Linked DNA regions of Oryzias latipes. Each later gene encodes a partner of the first gene's protein in a complex. Links are inferred from orthologs where the notes say so. Each region holds a gene or a part of one and is shown in the gene's direction. Other genes may lie near its edges.

Evidence for each region. Proteins that work in one complex are often made in the same cells at the same time.
Region 2: sart3 (region 1) and ccnt1 share a complex: the UniProt entries of both Homo sapiens proteins name them as parts of the 7SK snRNP complex. The link is inferred for Oryzias latipes from reciprocal best matches to the Homo sapiens genes SART3 and CCNT1.
Region 3: the proteins of sart3 (region 1) and usp4 are in contact, whole or in part, in a crystal structure (PDB 5CTR), measured with the Homo sapiens proteins. The link is inferred for Oryzias latipes from reciprocal best matches to the Homo sapiens genes SART3 and USP4. Residues at the interface, in NP_055521.1 of Homo sapiens: Asp437, Ser438, Ser439, Lys440, Gln490, Arg493, Glu494, Trp496, Asp497, Met500, Thr501, Ala505, Trp511, Tyr514, Lys529, Arg533, Cys537; in NP_003354.2 of Homo sapiens: Met24, Thr27, Leu28, Ser53, Trp54, Glu123, Gly125, Leu126, Phe127, Val128, Lys129, His130, Cys131, Lys132.

What each region holds. Positions count from the first base shown.
Region 1 is NC_019867.2:12,883,054-12,886,431, reverse strand, and holds part of sart3 (squamous cell carcinoma antigen recognized by T-cells 3), read left to right. Parts: intron 1-86; coding exon 87-242; intron 243-426; coding exon 427-565; intron 566-1,431; coding exon 1,432-1,539; intron 1,540-1,607; coding exon 1,608-1,685; intron 1,686-1,779; coding exon 1,780-1,838; intron 1,839-2,091; coding exon 2,092-2,201; intron 2,202-2,279; coding exon 2,280-2,392; intron 2,393-2,574; coding exon 2,575-2,651; intron 2,652-2,740; coding exon 2,741-2,903; intron 2,904-2,983; coding exon 2,984-3,378. UniProt on the Homo sapiens protein: U6 snRNP-binding protein that functions as a recycling factor of the splicing machinery. Promotes the initial reassembly of U4 and U6 snRNPs following their ejection from the spliceosome during its maturation.
Region 2 is NC_019865.2:25,919,747-25,923,329, forward strand, and holds part of ccnt1 (cyclin-T1), read left to right. Parts: intron 1-390; coding exon 391-451; intron 452-1,025; coding exon 1,026-1,088; intron 1,089-1,216; coding exon 1,217-1,274; intron 1,275-1,376; coding exon 1,377-1,540; intron 1,541-1,663; coding exon 1,664-1,734; intron 1,735-2,163; coding exon 2,164-3,438; 3' UTR 3,439-3,583. UniProt on the Homo sapiens protein: Regulatory subunit of the cyclin-dependent kinase pair (CDK9/cyclin-T1) complex, also called positive transcription elongation factor B (P-TEFb), which facilitates the transition from abortive to productive elongation by phosphorylating the CTD (C-terminal domain) of the large subunit of RNA polymerase II (RNA Pol II).
Region 3 is NC_019863.2:3,078,610-3,082,840, reverse strand, and holds the end of usp4 (ubiquitin carboxyl-terminal hydrolase 4), read left to right. Parts: coding exon 1-123; intron 124-219; coding exon 220-290; intron 291-363; coding exon 364-479; intron 480-554; coding exon 555-704; intron 705-1,421; coding exon 1,422-1,525; intron 1,526-1,775; coding exon 1,776-1,864; intron 1,865-1,965; coding exon 1,966-2,088; 3' UTR 2,089-3,293; downstream 3,294-4,231.

The sequences.
Region 1 (3,378 bases):
AGCTGACCTGCACACATTTGGTTTTGAATCTGTCTTGAGCGACTTTTTTCTAGTTGTTAACATCTTCTTGCATCCGTCTGCTGCAGCTGGTGGCCGAACCTCCTAAACTGGCTGAATATCAGGCCTACATTGACTTTGAATTGAAGGTGGGGGACCCAGCACGGATCCAGATTACCTTTGAAAGAGCTCTGGCAGAGAACTGCTTGGTTCCAGACATGTGGTCTAAATGCACCAAGTATCTTGTGAGTATTGATTATTGTTCAGTCTATAAAGAATGAAATTTTTGCTATGTATTTGTTTTAGTTCAGCTGCCTGTTTCTGTTTATTTAGCATTTTAGTAAATTGGCCAATTAAGAAAGAAAAATGAAAACATAATTAAAAAAAAAGTGTTGCTTAGATTTTTGTCTTTTATTTTTGATCTTTTAGGATCGCCAGCTGAAGGTTAAAGACTTGGTTCTGTCCACTCATGAGCGGGCTGTTAGGAACTGCCCCTGGACCATGAGTCTGTGGAAGAGCTACCTGCTGGCTTTAGAGAGGCATGGAGCAGACCATCACACTGTGTCAGGTACCAGTTTGATTACCTGTGACATTTACCACATGTGTGATGACTAACTTTTAATTCCTTATTAAAATGGTTTTAAACAGTGGAGGAGAAAAAAGTTGTTAAAGAAAATGTTTTTTTCCTTGAAATTTTCATTTAGGGAGAAAAATCGAATGAATTAATTCGAATTTTTTGTTACGGGTGATTTAAAAAATAACTAAATTGAGTTTTTTTGCAACGGTGCATTTTTGGCTCCCCGGAGCTTCTGTAGCGTTAATTCACACGGCAGTATGACAAGCGACAAACAACAACATCATAGCACCACGAAACAGCAAGCGGCAACATGGCTACCGGTGAGAGTGGGAAGTTTGTTCCCAAGAAAGGAATAAAATCATCTGTTGTTTGGAACTGGTATGGGTTTGCTGCCACAGACGTGGAGGAAGAGACCCCCCCCCATGCTGCAACACTTGCCTAAAGCCCATCGCAGTCAAAGGCAGCAGCACCACAATCCTATTCCAACACCTGGAACAGAGACATCCAGCGGAATATGAAAAAGGCCAGTCTCTCTGAGGCGAACAAAACCGCGGTGACCAAAAAAACAGCTAACTGTAGCCGAAAATCGGAAATCAAATCAAATCTGAGATTTTATTTTTAGGCCTTATAGCCCAGCCCTAGTCAAAATAAAAGAATATTTGGTTACTTGCTAAAGTTAACAAATAGTAATTTTTTTTCTATTATTTCTATATACATATTAGAAAAAAAGCTGTAAATGTTTAATTCTTTACAAAGATGCTGAGTTATTAAAGTTGAGGAAGCACGTGTGTGTTAATGGGGACAGTTAGTTTATTTGTGTGTTTGAGTTTCATTTTCTTCTTTTGTCTTTTGTTCAGATGTTTTTGAGAAAGCACTGAATGCAGGCTTCATTCAAGCAACAGACTATGTGGAAATCTGGCAGGTGTACCTGGACTACCTGAGGAGGCGCGTGGATTTCAGTAAAGGTGAGAGCTGCTGTGTTCGTCACATTTGGTAAAATAAGAAATTGGAATCATTTAAACTCTTTCTTTAGAATCAAGCAAAGAATTGGAGGAGTTACGAGAGGCCTTCTCTAGATGCTTAGACTACATGAAACAAGATGTTGAAGAAAGTAAGTAAATCTATTGTTTATTTACTTTATTTTGTCAGTTGAAGTTCTCATTTAGCTTTTTTCATCACTAACTTATATTTCGGTGTAAATTCAGGATTTGGGGAAAGTGGAGACCCTTCCTGTGTCGTCATGCAGATTTGGGCAAGGATAGAGGTAACTGGTGCTACTGCTTAAACCAGATTCAAGTGTGAAATCTTAAATTATATTATATTGGTGGTAAAAATAAAATAGGACTCAAGTCTTAACCAAGAGAATTCTATAAAACAATTTAAGATAAATTAAGTGAAAGCTGAGAATTTGGTTGTTGAAAAATGAAGCAGGAAGTTTTGATTGGAATATTTGAACAGTATCTTTCAAATTTTGGGATTTTAATTTGGCATTAAATTCTTTTTCTGTTCCTCACCAGGCCCTCCACTGCAAGAACATGCAAAAAGCCCGAGAGCTGTGGGATAACATCATGACTAAGGGGAACTCCAAATATGCCAACATGTGGTTGGAATACTACAATCTTGAAAGGTTTGTTTGGTAATCCCCCAAATCCAGAGAGAAAAACACTTTGCAGCAGTGACAAGAAGCTTTCTCTGAAAACCATAGATCTTATGGGGACTCTGTTCACTGCCGGAAAGCTCTCCACAGAGCAGTTCAGTGCACCACCGACTATCCGGAACACGTCTGTGACGTCCTGCTCACCTTTGAAAGGGTAGAAGGTGAGTCTCATGGTAACACAATTTTACACCTCCAATCTCATGTCAGCATTATATAATCAACTCTGTTGCTTTATTAAGTTAAATACAGTTAGTGGTATATGAGATGAACTATCTAACAGATAAACTAAAGATCTCATAGCTGTTAGAGATTGAGTTATTAATTATATAAAGGTTCCATCCAGGTTCATTGGAGGACTGGGACACAGCGGTGCAGAAAACTGAGTCCAGGATGAACCGGATTAATGAGCAACGAGCCAAGGTAGGAAGGTGTTGATGTGTGTTGGACAGGATGGTAGCATCGCATGGAGCTAATGTTAGCATATCCGGATCATAACCTCCAAAAATCAGGCTGCTGAGAAAGAAGCCAACCAGGCTCGCCAAGAGGAGGAACGAGTTGAGCAGCGTCGGAAGGTCAAGGCAGAAAAGAAGGGTCTGAAAAAGGATCAGAGGGGAGCTGGTGAGAAGAGAAAAGCAGAACAAGAGGATCAGGATGAATGGAACAAAGACTCGGGTAAAGGTTATTTTAAGGAAAAATAACTTAATGTTTTGACAATGTTGTCACAAAGTTTCTCTTTTCCATGATGTTGTAAGGGCCTAAAAGGCGCAGAGGGAATGTAGACGGCACTACAGACGAGTACATGGAGACGGAGACCGGGCTCTTTGGAAGGAACGCTCCCAGAACTAAACCTTCAGCCGGCCTGAAGAAAGTCCCGCCTGGACACGGGGACGCTGCGGAGAAGCAGATCGACGACAAGTCTGAGCTCCGAGACGACTGCTGCAGCGTGTTCATCAGTAACCTGGCATTCACGCTGCAGGAGCCAGAGGCAACGCTCAAAGCGCTGTTTGAGAGCTGCGGTTCCATCGCCCAGGTTCGCCCCATCTTCGGCCACAGAGGAGTCTTCAGAGGATACTGCTACGTACAGTTTGAATCTCCAGCATCCGTTACTGAAGCTTTGAAGCTGGACAGACGGGAGGTGGAGGGGAGG
Region 2 (3,583 bases), on another chromosome or scaffold:
CCCAGTTTTTCTTTTCTAGAAAGAACAATGTTTGCCATGGTTCTGTGATAAGAGGAGGGGCGGGGGGAGTTTCTTAACTCTTTGGTTTCTTTTTCATGTTAACTTTAAACAACCACTTGACCGACTTGTTGACGTTTTTTTTTTTTGAGACGCTGCTCCCTATGGGTTGAGAGAGCAAGGGTCAAAATGCGTCTGATTGTGTAGGTTTCAGTCACCCAGGTGATGTGATGTCTATCGGTTGTAAAACAGGAGTGTCTGCGCTCGCTTTGTGGACTTTTACATGAATGGACGAACATTTCTAGGACCACAGAGTGAGCTGCTCAGACACTCTTGTTTGACAACAGTTTGCAGGCGTCTGGGAGAGTAACATGCCTGTCCTCTCAACCTCAGGCTTACCTGACACAAGCCCAAGACCTGGTCATTCTTGAGAGCATAATACTCCAGACCTTGGGTAAGTTTGGGAGGCAAACCTGGGACCCTTCCTTTCCCTCCAGAGAATCATCCTGACCGAGATGACCTCTGCAGCTTTCTGTTTCCAGAAACTCCAAATGTGGTTATCAGCACTGGAAAACACATACTCAACTCATGTTAGAAGCATTTCCACCACTGTTCAGTCGCATTTCTTTCATTCTCTTTATCGTTTACCATTTCAGTCCTTTATTTTCGTCCTTTTTTTCTATATAAATTTAAGAATGCTTTTTCACAACTTCGTGGAGCAGAACATGTTTGAGGAACTGAAAATGATGGGCCATTTTTTAATTTTCCTTCTACTTTTTTGTGTGGATTAGGTTTTAATATTTTGATTTTGCCCAAGGTTTGATCCCATGAGAAGAGTTCTCATAAAACGTTGATCTCCACTTGGCGTTTTGTTTGAATAATTACACATTTTTTGTTTTTTTTCTTAGGGTCTTTGGTAACGTTACCTATCCAGTGGAAGCCAAATGGTTCAAATAAACCTGAACGTTTTAATTTGGCAACCAGTGAGCTGATGTCTTTCTCTTTTCTTGTCCCCCTTTTTGTGGCAGCTTTTGAAATCACCATTGATCATCCTCACACTCATGTTGTCAAGTGCACTCAGCTCGTCAGAGGTGAGCACCTTGTCCACAATATGCGTATATAAAGAAAAAAAATGCCGTCTATTTGGCACTATTCAACAACTTGTACCTCCAATTGTTAATTTGCAGACTTTAAGGTCTTTTTTTGTTTCTTTGTTTTGGTTTTATTGCAGCCAGCAAGGATCTGGCCCAAACATCCTACTTTATGGCAACTAACAGGTATGCCCTCCTTTCACATCGGCTTTACGGTGGGAATTTTGATGTGGAAATGGGCTGATTTGTTTCCTCTCTCTCTCTCTTTTCGTGCGTCCTGCCACCCAGTCTGCATTTGACCACCTTCTGCCTGCAGTATTGCCCCCCCGTCGTGGCCTGCGTGTGCATACATCTTGCATGCAAGTGGTCCAACTGGGAGATCCCCGTCTCCACTGATGGCAAACACTGGTGGGAATACGTTGATCCCACGGTTACTTTGGAGCTTTTGGACGGTACTTCACAAATCCTGTTGTTTTTTTTTTTAACTATTCTTTTTTGTAAATGCAAAAATGGTGTAAAGAACTGCAAATCCGTCTTTGGAGAGTTTGTGACTGTAGCCTGTAACTCTTTTGCAGAACTCACGCATGAGTTTCTGCAAATCTTGGAGAAAACTCCTAGTCGGCTTAAACGGATTCGGAACTGGAAGGTACGACTTTGTTTCTGCCTGTAAGCTAGCGGAGCCCACAGTTTCTTGGTCTCCACCTGCTCGGGCTTTCTTCAGGGTGGTGGGCGAGCAACGGCAGAGTGCACACAGCAGCCCAGCCGGGTGCCCGGTTCATGGGTGGGGCTCGAGAAGCACATGCTTCTGGACGGCACTGCTGCCTGAGTGGGTTTCAAATGCTCCTGCAATCTGGAGTGGCATTCACCCTAGGAACCGGCGCGTGGCTGTGCCAGCAGAGCCTATGCAATGGCAGGCAGAGGGGGCTGGTCGATCACACATCTGGCACTCTGTGTGGTTAAACATGCACATACGTGCACTGACGTATGGATCCGATTGGGCTCCCCTGCTGAAAGCCAAGCGCTCTCTTTTTGTGTGAATGGAACTTCTGACCTAATAATGTTTCTTGTTTCTCAGGCTGGAGGCCAGACCCCAAAGGTCAAGCCCAAGGTCCAGGAGGAAGGTGAACAGAGAGACGCCATGATCAGCATGATCTCCATGGTCTCATCAGAAAGTACTGTGGCAGGACTCATGAGCCTCTCCGCTCCATCGGGCTCCTCTTCCTCATCTGCGGGCGACAAGGTCACACCTGGGAGCGCTCAGACGTGGAGCGGGAAAGGTGCGTCTGCAACTGAACTACCGCCCAACCACGAGGTCCACGCTCCTGCCAAAGTGTCACTGAGTGAGTACCGGGCCAAGAACGCAGATGTACTAGCCGCCCAGAAGCGGAAGCTTGAGAACATGGAGGACAGCGTCAAGAGAGAATATGCCAATGCAGCGAAGGCTCTCATCGGCCAACAGCAGAGGAAAGAGAAGCAGCAGCATCACCACCAGCAGTCCAGCTTTTCTTCTGACATGTCTAACCCCTCGCCCATTATTTTGAAAATCCCCCTGGAAAAAGAGAGACACGACCGCTCTTTAAAAGTGCGTTATCCAGTACCTGGGTCAGGAGGGGGCAGCGGTGGCGGACACGGCAGCGGCAGCAGTGCGCAAAGTGGCAGTGACCGAGGTCAGGATGCAGACATTAAAGTCAAAATACGAGTGCCTGACAAACTAAAGACAGGCTCTGGGGAGGATGGTAAGAGCAGGGACAAGCACAGGGAGCGCTCTAACCACCACCACTATCACCATTCCTCCAGCAGCGCTTCACTCTCGTCCTCCCACAAACATTCTAGTACAAGTGGGGGCTTAGGAAGCAGTAAAAAAGTTCCCAATGACTCTTCTAGAACAAGTTCTTCGTCATCCTCAGCCTCACGGAAGAGGACGCACCTTCCAGACCCTGCAGCCGGCTCCCACCCGCCCCTCAAAGTCAGCAAGTCGTCCAGGAATCCATACCAACTACCGTCCCTGTCCGCTTCCTCTGGACAAACTTTGGGTCATGGACCCGACCTGCTTCCTGCTTTGGGCCTTTCCCACCACCAAGGGGCGTACTCGCACTCCAAAAGTGACAAGACGGACACAAATGGCCACAGTGCAGCGGGCGGGGTCCAGTCCAACGAGTACCAGGACACTTTTGACATGTTAAACTCTCTACTGAGCGCTCAGGGCGTCCAGCCGGCACAGCCGTCCATGTTCGAGTACCGCTCTCAGTACGGAGACTATAGGTTCCCCGCTGGGTCCAGAGGGAACAACCCCAGACCCCCACCCCTACCTTCAGAACCCCCTCCCCCACTTCCTCCATTACCCAAATAGCCCACATACTCACCGTCAGAAACGTCCACTTTGTTACAAAAAGTGTATTGTACAATGTTTCAAATGTTGTTTTACTTTTTGGACTTTTCTACTCACCCAACATCGTCGCAGGCTTCAGGGGGACAGCAGAGAAATGTACCGGGGT
Region 3 (4,231 bases), on another chromosome or scaffold:
CTGACTTGGAAAATGGCTCAAAGGGCCAGAAGACAAAGCTATTCACTTTCAGCGTAGTCAACTTTTACGGAACAGCCAACATCAGCTCGCTACCTTGTGAAGGAAATGTCCTCAAACTCAATCGTTAGTGTTGATGTTTCACGCTTCAAATGAAATGGGCAGTTCAGCTTTTTTTTAATGCGGTTTGTCAACAGCATCTCCTGTTTCTCGTCCATGCAGCTCATTCCACCATAGCCATCGACTGGGACACGGAGTCAAAGAAGCTGTTCTACGACGAGCAGGAAGCAGAGGTCAGGGCCTTGATAGCTTTCAAATAGCCACATGCAAACGGCCTATTTATAGCTGTGTACATGTTGTGTGTAGGCCTATGAAAAGCACGAGAGCATGCTGCAGCCCCAGAAAAAGAAAACCACCGTGGCTTTGAGGGATTGCATTGAGCTCTTCACCACCATGGAGACGCTGGGAGAACACGACCCCTGGTGAGAACTCTTCAGCATCAAAAAGTTCCAGATGTTTCTACTGCCTTCAGCAGCTAATCTGTTTTTTATACATAGGTATTGTCCAACGTGTAAGAAACACCAACAAGCCACAAAAAAGTTTGACCTGTGGTCTTTGCCTCGCATTCTGGTCGTTCATCTGAAGCGTTTCTCCTACAACCGATGCTGGAGGGACAAGCTGGACACGGTGGTGGACTTTCCTATTAGGTATGGTGGGATAACTCAAGACTCTCAGGTTGCATTCATACCAAACGCGATTTGGCGGTTCAACACTCAATTACCCCCCCCCCTGACCTCAGATTGCTTTGCTGTGGTACATGGCGCTCAGAAATCTGTCAGTGTTTAGGTAAGGCCTTTGATAATCTAGCAGAGATTGGTGGATTCTTAGAGGACTGTGTTAAAGTCGGAGCCCCGAGGAGTGATGCGTACTTTCCTTTCACTGTGGAAAAAAGTGATAGTTTAGTTTCCTTCTTACTATTACGTTCCTTTTTGAAATAAAAACTTATTTTCCTTTCTTCAACCAGAGGTGGTTCTGCAGCTGCAGGTTGCAGACCCCTCCACTAGAGGGAGCTATGTACAGTTCACCTGAACCAGAAATCTCTCACGGAAACGCATCTTTCCAGAACTGTGCTTCATTGTGGGGTTCTTGTGCAACACTTCAGAGAACAGATAACGCTGTAATCTGTTTGCTTCTATTATTTTATGGCCGTTTGAAAGAGCCTTTCACGCCGCTCCCCACCCCTCCCCCACCCCCCGCGTTTGCTCAACACAAAACATCCTCAGTTGTAAAAGAGGAACTTAACCACATGACCAGGAAACGAGATCAGAGTGACTCCAAACTCTGCTCAGTCCTACTCTTCCTCATTAAATCTACATGAGTTTTGGTTTCAGCCTAACTGTCTTTTTGTTTTCTTTCTTTTTCAGAGATCTAAACATGTCCGAGTTTGTTTGTGACCCAAAGGCGAGCCCCTACATCTATGACCTCATTGCTGTGTCCAACCACTATGGAGGAATGGGAGGAGGCCACTGTGAGTCCCTGCTTATACTCCAGCCTCCTTTAAATAGCTGAATGAAAAACACATGAGGCAGGTTAAACCCATGAAACAGCAAAGAAACGTTATCACAGAAACTAGCCGCCATGGTAGAAACCTGTAGCTGTCTTCACTTCTGAGGGACCGTTGTGTTTCCTCAGCGTCTGTTTCTTTATCTAGTTAAGATCTTCCTTTCTTCCATCGTAAATGAGTGACCTGAACCAAAGTCTAACCTTTGTGTGAACAGACACCGCCTACGCCAAGAATAAACTGGACGGAAAGTGGTATTATTTTGACGACAGCAGCGTCTCCTCGGCCACAGACGACCAGATTGTGGTGCGTTCCTCTTTAAATTGGTGTTTTGGGAGGGCAGGCCTTGGCCCTGCTGGTGTTGAATGTCCATGTTGAGTAACTGTATCCCTCCTGTCGGTCTGCAGACTAAAGCGGCCTACGTGCTCTTCTATCAGCGCAGAGACGAGGACGCTCCCTCCAAAAGTCCGCCTTCGGCGTCGTTGGGAGCATCTCCGGAGGCCGCCGACGACCGCATGGACACAAACTGAGAGGCTCAAAGGGAGACGGACACGCACGGGGCGAACGGACACGTGGACACGCACACCATGCTTCTGTAGTGACGGACGGCTCCACAGACTTTTTATTAACCCCACCCTCCGCTTGAATCTGTCTTGTGATTTTTGGCTAAAGCCAACAGCCTGGAAGGAGCGGACGGTCTGCTGATTTATAGTTTTACTAGTTCCAAACTAAGAGGAATGTAGATTCTCTCACTGGATGATCATATTGTTAAAGTGCCCTCATATGTATAGATAAAAGGTTTGTTTCCCACAAAAATATTCTGAGATACTTAGAGAAAAAAGCCAAATGCACATTGTTTGAACCAAAGCGTTCGGAGATATTTATGTGAAAAATAAAGCAGAAATCAGCCAGATGCTGGCGCTGTGCCTAGATTGTCCTTGCTACGTGAAATGCAATCCTTTTCTAAAGGGAGGTGTGCGCTCAAAAGGAAACGAGTGACTCCTGAGGCCGAACTGTGGTTCAGCGGGACGCCCGGGAGGGGAGGGGCTCAGACCGCTTCAGCAGGTGACCCGCAGGAGCTGTTTTTGATCAGAATGAGAGAAAAACTGCAGAAAACAAGCAGGCAGGCGCCTTCCTGTGTTTAAAGGTAAATATCAACCTGCTGTATGCAGACGCCACAGAACTGGACGCTGTGGCCCACAGCATCCAAGGATGTGACGTGGGACACCTTCAGATCTTTTAGCTTGGTTCTATGCACACATGGACTGCTGCTTAGTTCTGTACAATAATGTACAGAGAAGCCATGTTCAAAACACACTGGCTAAAACAAGATAAACCAGGATGAACCGATGCTTTGATGAAACCTCGACTCGCTCCTTGACACGAGCAACTATCTGCTCATCTGATCTGGACTAAACAAGATCTTGACAGGAACAAACATTTGCATGATTTACAAACCGTTTAACTTTTTGTTTTCCTCTGAATTGCATAGAAAAAACTAAATCCAATCAAATCATGTTCATTATTTATAATGAAGGCAGTTTCCAGTTAAAATGTCAACTTTTCTTTTGCGTCAGAATAAACTGATCTAGAAAAGCTTCGTCACATCTGCCGTGAGTTTTTTTTCCCGTTTTATTAAAATGATCCGAAAACAGTTGAAGTCATCCTCTGAACCCAGTTTGTTTTTTAATTGAGAAATATTTCAGTTAATGTTGCAATAAAGTCCTGAAGCCTCAACCAAGTTGGTTTGCTTGTGTACTTTAGAATTTGAAATGTGGCTGTGCCGTCAGCGCAGCACAGATTGCATATCAGCTCCTTACCAAAGAGGCCATTCTGTTCAAACACTGCCTCCATTGTTGGATCCTCTTTACCAGCAGGTGAAGCAACCAAAAAAACCACCCAGTCATGCTGACTTCACAGGCTGGATTAGTGTTGGCACCAACCCAGAGGAGACGAGCATGTGGTGGGAATGACTGGTTTACCTGCTGATGACTGTTATCCCGTCCCAGGACTCATTCAGGCAGCACAACATTTGGTCACAAACATTTATTGGTCCTCAAAAAAACACCACAACTGTGCTTTACATGCAGCCAATGCAGCTGAAAACGTTTGAACCTTTCCATGTCATCAGACGCCCTCCTCACTCGCTTTCAGAGGATGTCTTCATGTAGTAAAGGAACAAAGCAGCCATCGAATGCAGGGAAGCACAGGTGGAGTTGGAGGGAGGGAGGGAAGCACTGGACGGCTTGAAGATGTTACTTGGTTTGGCTGAGGAGCTTCTTGATGTCTCCTTCCACGTCGCTGGTGAGGAACCTCCTGCTGTACCGCTTGAACGGCGTCCCATCCGGCCCCACCAGGAACTTCTCAAAGTTCCAGGCCACGTCGTTTCTGCACACCGGGCTCCAGATGATGAACTTGGGGTCGGTCATCAGGGGTGCGGGGTCATCGCTGGGGGTGGGGAGCTGCTCCCTCAGAAAGGCAAACAAAGGGTGGGCATCCTTCCCGTTCACATCCACCTTCTCCAAGAGCTGGAACTTTGGCTCGAAGCCATTCCCGGGACGGACGTGCTTCAGGGACAGCAGGATTTCTTCATTCTTGCAGTTCTCCTGTGGGTCGATCATTAACAGTTTATGAATGTGCCGCCTTTCATCTGGTTTGTGAATGCGAGGACCA